3 linked regions of the Canis lupus familiaris genome follow. The protein of the gene in region 3 binds, or shares a complex with, the protein of the main gene of each other region. Links are inferred from orthologs where the notes say so. Each region holds a gene or a part of one and is shown on either strand. Other genes may lie near its edges. The genes, in order: MED31, MED13L and MED20.

The links.
Region 1: MED20 (region 3) and MED31 share a complex: the UniProt entries of both Homo sapiens proteins name them as parts of the mediator complex. The link is inferred for Canis lupus familiaris from reciprocal best matches to the Homo sapiens genes MED20 and MED31.
Region 2: MED20 (region 3) and MED13L share a complex: the UniProt entries of both Homo sapiens proteins name them as parts of the mediator complex. The link is inferred for Canis lupus familiaris from reciprocal best matches to the Homo sapiens genes MED20 and MED13L.

What each region holds. Positions count from the first base shown.
Region 1 is NC_049226.1:30,892,227-30,895,974, reverse strand, and holds the start of MED31 (mediator of RNA polymerase II transcription subunit 31), read right to left. Parts: upstream 2,618-3,748; 5' UTR 2,490-2,617; coding exon 2,462-2,489; intron 1,764-2,461; coding exon 1,686-1,763; intron 1,399-1,685; coding exon 1,302-1,398; intron 1-1,301. UniProt on the Homo sapiens protein: Component of the Mediator complex, a coactivator involved in the regulated transcription of nearly all RNA polymerase II-dependent genes.
Region 2 is NC_049247.1:13,128,760-13,132,407, reverse strand, and holds part of MED13L (mediator of RNA polymerase II transcription subunit 13-like), read left to right. Parts: intron 1-2,732; coding exon 2,733-2,912; intron 2,913-3,530; coding exon 3,531-3,648. UniProt on the Homo sapiens protein: Component of the Mediator complex, a coactivator involved in the regulated transcription of nearly all RNA polymerase II-dependent genes.
Region 3 is NC_049233.1:10,759,438-10,763,085, reverse strand, and holds part of MED20 (mediator of RNA polymerase II transcription subunit 20), read left to right. Parts: intron 1-1,059; exon of another isoform or gene 1,060-1,133; intron 1,134-1,350; exon of another isoform or gene 1,351-1,600; coding exon 1,601-1,854; exon of another isoform or gene 1,855-2,453; intron 2,454-3,519; coding exon 3,520-3,648. UniProt on the Homo sapiens protein: Component of the Mediator complex, a coactivator involved in the regulated transcription of nearly all RNA polymerase II-dependent genes.

The sequences.
Region 1 (3,748 bases), on a different chromosome or scaffold from region 3:
AAAGCTTTTCTCCGGATTATTCAATGAATAAGTGGCTGTTCATAAAGGAGCAGTCAGGGTGTACAGGGTCCTGCAGGGAGAAGGATGTGGGTTTTGTGAATCAGTTGACACAAATCAAAAAAGTGACTTGGAAAAAAAATAAAAATACAAAAAATAAAAAGTGACTTGGATAAAGTACAAGTCTGAATCATTTTCCTATCAAACGTGTTTGTTTAAAAGAAAGACAAGAAAAAAAAAAAAAAAAAAAAAAAGAAAGACAAGAAGTTCAACTATTGCTTTCTGACTACCTAGTGAAGACAAAGAAGAGGGATGGGTTCAAGGTTGAAACAAGTGTGATGCTTGGCACAGAGGAGGCACAGCAGCTATAGACACACTGGTTTGGGTTTGTTTTTTGGACTTTTTGTTTAAAAATTAAAGGCGTGTGGCAACCCATCAGCAAGCAAGTCTATGGGTACCATTTTTCCAACTACATTTGCTCACTTTATGTCTGTCATTATTTGATAATTCTCACATTTCAAACTTTTCTTTATCATTGTATTTGTTAGGGTGATCTGTGATCAGACTCCATAAAACCTCAGATGACAGTGTTTTTTAACAATATTTTTAAATTAAGGTATGTACCTCTTTCTTGACTTAATGCTATAGTGTTAACAACCCTTATACGCACTAGAGAACCCAAAAACTTGGGTCACTTTATTGCAATATTCACCACATTGCAGTGGCCTGGAACCACATCAACAGTATCCAAGGAATGCCTATATTAAGAGTCAGGTAAGGTCACCTCCTCCAGAAAACCTTCCAAGTACCTGATGTTCTTTAATCTTCAGCCTCAGGTAATACCACTGCATCTACAGACTGTGGGTTCATTAGGGTCAGAAATTCAGTGAGATGGGGTGAGTGGTAGATAGATAAAGAGAGACCTGAGAAAAGAGAGAGGATTTTGTTTCACATGCAATGGGAAACCACTGGGAGGTTTTAAGCAAGAAAATACCACGTCATAATTTACATTTTTGAAAGATCAAGTTGGCTTCCCTGTGGAAAACTGTTTTGCTTGGTTTGGCTTGCGGGAGGGAGGACACAGAAGGAAGGTAAGAGCACAAGCAGGGAGAAGCAGGGGGGTGGACACCGCAATAATCCAAGCTGGAGAGGGGGTGGCTCTGTATTAAGGTGGAGGCAACTGAAAGAAGTGGAGAGATTCAAAATATACTTTTTTCCAATGGGAAATGAGAAAATCTGTCAAATATCAGTATTTTTAATGTAATAACTATACACATATTTAGGACTATAAAAATTAAACTTACTTTAGATACTTGGCATATTCTGGTTCTTTCCAGTAAAGCAAGTACTTAAGATAATTAACAAAAGCTTTGTCTTTGAAGTAACCTCTTTGGGCAAGAACTGAAAGGCATAAACAAACAAACAAAAAAATCTGTAGAGCAAACCAATCCTCGGACTACTGATTTGTGACCCCTCACATAAAGCATCTACTTATATAACTTCCCCACCACCAACACACACTAAATGCTGAACATAAGTCCCAATTTGTTCTCACACACACCAGTATAAGCGTAGCAGTTAATTCCACTGGATTGAGAACATATAAAAATAGGTATCATTAGGAACTGCAGTTCTTCTGCCAGAGATCACTAACAGCTACTCAAGTCAGTAAGAGCTCAAGGACTTACAGTTAAGATAATTGGGGTTGGCTAGGCACTGCACAAATTCCAGCTCCAACTGAAACCGAAGTCGATTCCCGGCATCATCTAGGAGGGAAGTGAGCAAAAATCATCCAAAGTAAAGGTGACTAAAAAATAAATAAAATAAATAAAAAACAAAATAAAGGTGACTATCTAAAGTGCTGGTTTGTAGAAAGAAAACAGCAGTGGAGTGTTCTGAGTATTGCTGAGAGTATCTCTGAAGGCATAAGGCAGGGATGACTGTCCTAAGCTGGATGTGGGAAGAGAGGGCCGTTTCCTCCCAAGTCTAGAGAGCAGGGCCCTGATTAATGAGACCAGTAACTCCTTAAGGAGAAGTCCGAGGAAGCGGGCGCCCCCTGGGCAGGATGTTCACCCTCTGGCAGCCACTCCCCAGGACCTCCAGGGTGACCAGTGGCGGAGGGCTGCAAGCTAAGCAAGAGGAGGGGGCGAGTGTGCTCCCGCTAGGGCCTGGCGGGGAGGGGGGACTGGTTCGGGGCGGCAGGATTTGGGAGGCCCGGGGGAGGGGGGTGTCAGAGCCCGGAGGCTGGGAGGGCCAGGACCTGGGATGGGTCGGGAGGCCGCGGGGTCGGGGCCCGGGAGGGGTTGAGGCTGAGGGGTGGTCGGCGTCTGCGCGGCAAGCGAGGAGGAGGTAGCCGCGGACAGGAGCCCCGCCGAAGTCACGCCACACAGGAGTCCCGGGGGAAGCTGGAGGAGGAGGCCAGCCGGCTGTAGCTGTGTTTGCCAGGGCTCCGGCCGCTACCTACCTGTCTCCATAGCGACGGCCGCGGCCATCGCCAGCAAAAGCGCCGAGACGTCACCAGCACGACGAGCAGCTTCCCGGAGGTCCCGGAAGCTGCGGCCCCACTTCCTGTCGCGGGGCAGTGTGGGATGCGGGGCGGGGCGGTCCTCTCGGGCCCCGCCCACCGGCCTCGCGCAGACTCGCAAGGGGCGAGGGGCGGAGCTGGGGCGCTCCGAGCGCGGGAGGGGTCCTGTCCCCGCCTCTCTGCTCGCCCAGTGACGTAGCCGCGGGGGTCCCGAGCGCCTCCGGGAGCGCCTACATCCCCTCGGTGGGGTCTCCCGCGGGGGCAGTCCTCAGCCGGGAGAACGCCCAGCGGCCGTTCCAACCCACAGGGACCCCCCCCTTGACCCGAGCGCAGGTGCGGCAGGTGCGGCAGGTGCGGCAGGTGCGGCAGGTGCGGCAGGTGCGGCAGGTGCGGCAGGTGCGGGGTCGGCACTGGGCCAGCCCCCTCCGCCGCGCGTCGGCCGGGTGGCCGCACCGTTGACCCCGGGAGCCCCCTTGCAGCAAGCCAGCACTGGAGGTCCGCAGGCCCGCGACGCTCCGCCAGCCTGATGGGCTGATGGATAGGGAGGCTGTTGTTCCAACCACCCTCACGATCCAGACTTCGGGGACAGGGAGCAAACCCAAACCGTGACCACTGGGAGGATCACACCGCGGCCGGAAACCGAGGGGCAAGAAACAGACCTCCATTAATTAACCAGTTGGCCTTTGTGTTTCAAACCAAGCAGGTATTTTGTTTATGCTAAGCCCTGTGCCCTGTACGGGCACCCCCAGTCACACACATTTCCATACAGGTCAGACTAGATAAAAGTCAACATCTACCATGAGGCGTGATCTCGGAAGGGAACCCGGCCCGGGTCTCGCAGAGGGCGGGGAGGGCAGTACTATTTATGGAGCCTCTCCTCTGTGGGCACTTGGACAAGGTAGGCAGGACCCAGGCTCTCAGGAGCTCACACTGGTGAAGGGGCACACGGCAAATGATGAAAAGACCATTTTCTATCGCAATGAGTAACTGAAGGAAACAGGTAATGGGAGGGGTTCCTCACTCAGAAGTGTCAGGGAAGGCCTTGGTTAGGGGACTTGGATCTGAGGCTTGTGTGGGTGGACAGTGAGCCGTGCAGGGGTCTGGGACAGCAACGCAAGGGCTGGACGGGAGCAATCTTGGAATGTTCTGGAACAGAAAGAAGACCAGCGTTGTTGGAGCTATGCGAGGGACAAGCGTGGTACAGGAGAGAGGACGTTAGCGAAAGAA
Region 2 (3,648 bases), on a different chromosome or scaffold from region 3:
TTGTCTTTCCCCTTCTCTGTTCCCCCCCCCCCCCCAATAAATACATACATCTTCAAAGAACTGAAGGAAACTTGGAGCTGGCTAGATCCCCAAGAGCAATTTGAGACCTGCTGGGGCTGGGGTCTTTATCCCAAGAACCCTAATAAGTCATTGGTGGGTTTATGAAGAGGCATTGACATCTGATTTGTGTAAAGAAACCAGCTCTGAGTGCAGTGCGGACTGTGGATTTGGGAATAGCAGAATGGTGGAAAGACAAGGTTAGTGCAACTGCTCAAATGAGAAATAATAGCTGGTTTCTTATCTTAGCAAAGGGGATGGAAAAGAAGTAGAAACATAAGGTATGTTGAGGAAGTGGTAGGACTGCAGGGCTTAGTAGTGGGTTGGATTTCAGGGGTCAGAGCGAGATGTTAAGGAAGACACCCAGGTTTGTGATGTGTATACCTGGAGAGGTACTGATCATTCGAAGATAGGTGTACTGGAGGAAGGCTAGGTCTGGGGAGAAACTCTCCTAAGTTGAGTTTTGGAAATTTTAAAGATCTCTTCTTGAGATATCCAGGTAGAGATGTCAAGTAAACACTTGGGAGTTTATGGGCCTGCAGCTCAGGGGAAAGGGAGTAGTTGGCTTGTAGATAGTAAAGTCAGGCACAGAGGAGGAGGAAAGCTAGGATGACAAGATGGCTTGGGACAGAACTTTGCTGAATTCTGCTGTGTAACCAAGTTTTAAGAAAAAGAGTGGTCAGGAAGCATTAAAGCGCAGCTGAGCTTTTAAGAAGAGGATTAAGTATGTCTTTTGACCACAGTGAGGAGCTACTTCTGTAGACTACTTCACTAGAGGGATGGGAATAGGTTGGGCTGGAATGGTTGGTTACATGAATGAAACATGGAGCTTGCTCTGAACAGCTCTCAGCCTTGTAGGGGAGAAGGCTATATAAGCTTCTTAAATAACAGTTGGAAATCTAGAATGAGAAAGTATGCTTAGAGGACAGAGATCATTGGAGTGAGGGATGATAGGCACTTTTTTGAGTAGCCAGGCCCAGAGACTTCTCAGAGGTGGAGACTTGTAAGAAAGTATTCAAGGATTACACTCATTTCTGTAACTGCTGAGTTTTGAGCACTGTGCCTTGTACTTAGCAGGCCTCTAATTAATGTCTGCTGGATGCATTTATGAATTACAGAAAGTACAGTCTTCCCCTCTAAAGAAATGTGGGTGATTATCTTGGGCGGTTCCTTTTACTAGATAGTGGCCTTCAGACAGAAAAGCAGTGAGTGGGTGGATCAGTACTGTCATCTTTGGATATGAAAAATAGCAGATTTTATCGCAGGGGAGGTGTGGGTTCCAAAGTCAGAAGCTTAACAGTATCAGACAGATAATGTAAATGAGTGAATGATGCTGGAGCAGATTTGCAAACAGCAGTGCCCTCACTACATCTTTCCGTGCACACGTTCCATTCTGTGTGCACAGGAATAGCCACAAGGGATGATGTCTGCTTTTATTTTTCTCTAACCTGTGATTCTCTTTGTCTGTCATTTTCCAACTGTTGATAGAGCCATGGTTACAAGAAGTACTTTTTTCTTTACTATAGGAAAAAAAGAAGCCCAGGTTTGAAGGTACAGGTGATCATCCCTGCTTCCTTCTCAGGTAGGCAGCAGAGCTGAGTGAGGAGGGCCTCTGAAGGGGGCAGTTGCTCCTTGGCTTCAGCGCTGCTGCTTATGCAAGAATGGGGCCTGCTGCTTGCCAGGTCTCCCAGTTTGTCAAGAGATGCTGGAAATTTACATTAGCTACTGGTGTTTGATTTAGGGATCACCTAGAGGTGTCTTAAGCACCCTGTGTTTCTTTAGTTGGTAGATAAATCTTAGATTTCCATCCATGCCCCTTTCCTAATCAGCTAGAGAAGGAAAGGTCTTTAGGTACGCAGCTGTGCAAGTTCACAGCTGATCACCTCAAACTTAATTAGCTCTTTCTTCAGATCTCTTTGAGAATTCAGTGAGCATTACAGACCTGTCTCCCTGGGAAAGAATATGCACATGTTCGTGTGTGCACAATTTTGCAGTTTGAGAGGTTTTTTTCAAAGGTTCTATGTTAAGAGCCCCTCCTCTTAATAGGAAGGATGTTTCTTCTGAAACCTTGAATCCCACCTTCCTGTGTGGACAGCTGGCTTTCAGTACTGCTGTTGCTTTTGCCATGTTTTCTTGTGCCTCTGTCTGCCTGGAAGGTTATATTTCTCTCTGTGCACTTTGTATTTTGTGAAGATATTTTATATTACGAGCTTTTTTTAACAGTTGTGAAGAGCTTCTATTTAAGTTTTTCCTCCTACTCATTATTCATTCAAAACAGTGATATTTGTAAATAAAATAATAAATAAGAAACTTTTACAGCTCTCTTTTCCTATGAACAACCTTGGAAACAGGTTTGTATGATTTTAAAGAGTCAGGCTCATCTATCTTTTTACTTCTAATCTCCTATAGTTAACCTTTTATATATAGAGGAACCCATTTCTCCTTTTATTATTTCCACTAATAAATTATAAATTACTTTATAATAATAAGATAAGAAAATATCTTTTCTCTCCCCTGCTAGATCAAGCATTTTAGAATCTACTAAAAATAAAATCTACCACCAGTAATGTCTTTGTCACGGACTATAACTGAGGTCCAGAATGATGGCAGAGAGAAGAAGAGCATGCCGGTCCCCCTTTATGATCTCCATTCCTTTCATTTTCTTTCTTTTCCAGTGCTAGACATCAGCATGCTCTCCTCCCAAGATGTGGTCCGCATGCTGCTGTCCCTGCAGCCCTTTCTCCAAGACGCCATCCAAAAGAAGCGCACGGGCAGGACCTGGGAGAATATCCAGCATGTGCAGGGGCCGCTAACATGGCAGCAGTTCCACAAAATGGCGGGACGGGGCACCTATGGTAGAATCTCTTCCCTGTTTTAAATTTCTTCGTGATTTTTTTTGTTCCATAAAACCCAGCTTTAGTTACTGTCAAGTCCTTGCTTCACTGATAAAATAGAATCTTTTTCTTCATGGCTATTAAGGTTTATAATCTCTTTTCTTTCCTAAAGTCAGTTTGGAATTAAGTTTTCTAAGCATCCTTGGCAGAATCAAGGTCAATGAGGAAAATAATCCTTAAAGAGATTATTTGTTAGATTTTCCTCATTTTCCCGATCCTCATTGCATTTTCATCTGGATGAACATCTGAACTAGTTCTGTCAGCGTCTTCATAGTCAGGATTATAGTGCTTATTTTAAAGGAAATGGTGTAGTACTGCCTGGAAAACTAACTTTAACTTGTTCTCGTCTGCCTTCTGATCTTATTGGACCTTTATTAGAGCATTCTGACTCATTGAAATAAAGTTCTTCATCATGGGCCACGTAATTAGAGGGTTTGAAGAATACTTTTGAGAGTGATTCTGTTAACCTACAAGGAAATTTCTGATGCCAGAATTAAAACTAATGCAGCAAGAACTTCAAGGTCTCCAGCTTGTACAAAACAGACTCACGAGCCCTTCCTAATGGCCTTCTTGTTACAGGTTCAGAAGAATCTCCTGAGCCATTGCCCATTCCTACTCTGCTGGTAGGCTATGACAAGGACTTCCTCACCATCTCTCCATTCTCTTTGCCATTTTGGGAGAGGCTGTTGTTGGACCC
Region 3 (3,648 bases):
ACTTCATTGTGATTTTAAAAATACTGTTGTCTACAAACAGTTGACAGTGCCTTCTTCATTAAAAAAACCTTAGTTGACTTTCAAAATGTTTTCAAGACAGTAAGAGCACCTGCAGACTCCTGTAGTATGAATTCGGTAATTACAGTGAGTTTGCACAAGAACAGAATGAATGATAGATCAGCTTTGGGTTGTTTGTTTTTCAGGGTTGAAATGTTTTGCTCTGGGTTTAGCAGGAGGTAAAAGGTACCCATTGGCACAAGTGGTCAGGAGGGATGTGGAGAAAGGTTGGTGCAGAGCCTGTTGAGTTCTGGAAGTAGCAGCAGAGTGGAGGCCTATGTAAAGGTCTCTCTGCCCCATCTCGTTTCCACTGTTAAGCTCTCATTCTTGCCTAGAATATCTTTCCTTTTCTATGTGGCCAAACCCTACCTTCTCTTTGTATCATAGTTCAGGTGCTATTTTCTCCACGAAAGTTTTTCCTATTGACTCTTGCACACTTTGATCCTTTCCTGCTCTGGTCTTTTCTTCCTTCCAAAAAGATTTCTGGTCTATCCCACATAAGCGTTTTGGTCTTACTATCTCCTTAATAGTTTTTTATTGTCTTATTGTCTCTAATGAGAGTGTCAGTTTCCTGAGGTCAGGTACTAAGTCTTCTACTTGCATGCCTCTTAAACCCTAGCACGATGTTTGGGATGATTAAGTACTTAGTAAATACTTTATAGCTAAGTCTTCATGAATACTTGGGATTGTGGTAGTGTATCCATTAATTCTTACAGTGTATAAACAGGGGATCTTGCTTTCTATTTCTCAGTTAACCAAATATATGTAGCTTTCCTTCTTGCAGTAAATCTCTAGTAGTAATCAATGAGAAAACTCATTTCTCAGAGACTGGAAAGATTGGATGGGGCTTGAAATGAGACCTTCTGATTCCAGATCCTGAGTTCTTTCTGTGAAAGTGCTGATTGCTTCCCAAGTCAGCTGATGCCTTATAGCACTCCAGGGGTTCATCATTACCTTCAGGGTAAAGTCCAGACTTCTTGAGGCATGGAAAATAAGTCTTACCATAGCTTCACTCTGGCCTTCCTTTCCAGCCTCAAGCTCAGATACTCCCCTTTGCTGCTTCTGTGGGGCCTCTTCTTTTATATCAGGAAGGAGGCCAAAGGAGAAAGGGAAGGACAGAGAAGAGAGCATTTGCTTCATTTTTGTATACTCAAATGCTTTTAATATTACTTCTTATTTTCCTTATTACATAACATAGGATTATACAGAAGACTATGGGAAGTCTCTGTGGGTGATTGATTGTCATCATTAAGCACCCATCTGTGGAGCCCATCATTCAAGAACTAAACTTACCAGTGCTATGGAAGTTCCCTTATGCTCCTCATATTTCCTGGGGAATGAGCTTTTACCACATACTGCCTTGCCCACTGCTCTTCTTCCTTCCTCTTTGTGGAACAGACTGTTGGTGAGGGGATTACCCTCCATTGCCCTCCAAGATGGCTGAGGTAGTGGCAGATTGCCATCTGGCCCTGTTCCATGCATTTGACTATTCCGAGGCTTGCCAACAAAGATCCTGATGCTGATAGGCTCTCTGTCCCTGTAGGTCAGGCCGGGAAACTGATGTACGTGATGCACAACTCAGAGTACCCTTTGAGCTGCTTCGCCCTTTTTGAGAATGGCCCTTGCCTTATTGCCGACACCAACTTCGATGTGCTCATGGTGAAGCTCAAGGGCTTTTTCCAGAGTGCCAAGGCCAGCAAGATTGAGACCCGGGGTACCCGTTACCAGTACTGTGATTTCCTAGTGAAGGTGGGCACAGTCACCATGGGGCCCAGTGCCCGAGGCATCTCTGTAGAGGTAAGACCTTGGGGGAAAAGGAGCAGTATATGCTGAAGGGCTGCTCAGCAGAGGGATTGGTGGATTTCCACGTCCCTCTGAGTGCAAACCGCTGTTGATGCCTTCCTGATCCTGTCCCCAGAGCATCTGTGCTTCTCTGTCTCTGCATCTTTTATCCTTTCTTTAGTCCTTCGGGCTCTGGCCCAGGGTGAGAGTGGGAAGCTGGGGTTGCAGTGGCAGAAAGCTTAGGAAGGCTGGCTTGCTGGAGGAGGGAAGGGATAGCCAAGGGAGACAGGTTGATTGTGATGTGGAGGAACTGGTCACCTGTCACAAGGACTGGAGCAAACCAGGGGGAGACAGTGTACAGGTAACTTTTGGGTGGTGGGCCCTAAATCATGTAACTACACCCCTCTCCATGGTATACTTTAAGATAGGTCTCAAAGGTTCTGTAGCAGAGATGAGCCTTTCCTTTTGATATGCTGTCAACTTTCTTTCATGGTGGAAAGAAGTTTGTGTGGTGATTCCATCTCTGAGGTATATGTTGGAGACCGCAAAGAGGGAGTGTGGCAGTAGCTGGCTTTGGAACCAGTGAAATTCCTCAGTCTGCTATGTGCCCAGCTCTGTGTGAGGAGAAAAAAAATTAGTAAGCTATAGGGCCTGCTTTTTGAAAATGTGTGATTGAGAAAATGAGTGAATCTGAAACACACCGACTGTTTTTTAAGTTAATTTTTAAGGCATTCCCAGGCACAAATTGCTTTGGGAATTTGGGCCAATGAGAGCACTGCTGACTTTGGGGATTGGGATGCTTTCTGCAGGAGTAGCATGTAAAGAGGGATTTATAATGTAGAGATGTGGGAATAGATGAGGCCCACAAAGCATTCCAGGTGGAGAAAAGGGCCTTAGTAGTGATTACTGCTCTGAAACTCCAGTGACCTCTGGGACCAAAGTTTCCTGACTTCTTTTGGCTTGTGATATACCTTGCATTAGCTGAGTCCCACTGGGAACCCACTGTCTGCTTATCCTTCACATTTCTAGCTTTTTTAGTACAGATACATCCCAGCTCTTTTTTACTTGTTTCTCCTTATGGTTACTAGTTATTTTTCTTGCCATCCCTCCAGTGAAAAACTAGGAAAAAGGAATGAGAAAGTCTAAGGTGTATCTCCTTTGGCCCCTGCCACATGGGTTGGGAAATTACTTCTTAGAGTTAGGTGGGGTCTATCTTGGGGGTAATGTTTGGTCTTAAAGAGACTTAGTGTCTACTTTTCTCTCTGGTCACACACACACACAAACACACATCCTTACTTTTCTCTCATTCTTCATTTTCTCTCTCAGACTTTTTCTAGCTCTCCTTCGATCTTAATGCAGCATAGTAGGGACTATACAGTTCTGAGATCATCAAAAGGGGCCTGTATCAAAAGGGGACTTTTGGTCTTGTGGGTTGGGCTGTAGGTTGATAACTCCTAAGATGAGATGAGAATGCCAGAGATGCCTAAAGGGAATAATGCTGGGTATATGGAATCCCAGGTGTTTGGGTTGAGTATTTCCTGTGGAGCAACACTGTGTTAAAAGGTGTTTGTCTTTGGTTTGGGGCTGGAGAATTTAGGAGCAGGGGGTAAGAGGTATAAGAGAAGCAGAAGACCTTGTCCTTGCCTCACTCACCCTTGTTCTATGTTCTTTTGGCCCTAGGTGGAGTATGGCCCCTGTGTGGTAGCTAGCGACTGCTGGAGCCTACTGCTCGAGTTCTTGCAGAGTTTTTTAGGCAGCCACACGCCAGGAGCCCCAGCAGTGTTTGGGAACAGACATGATGCTGTCTAC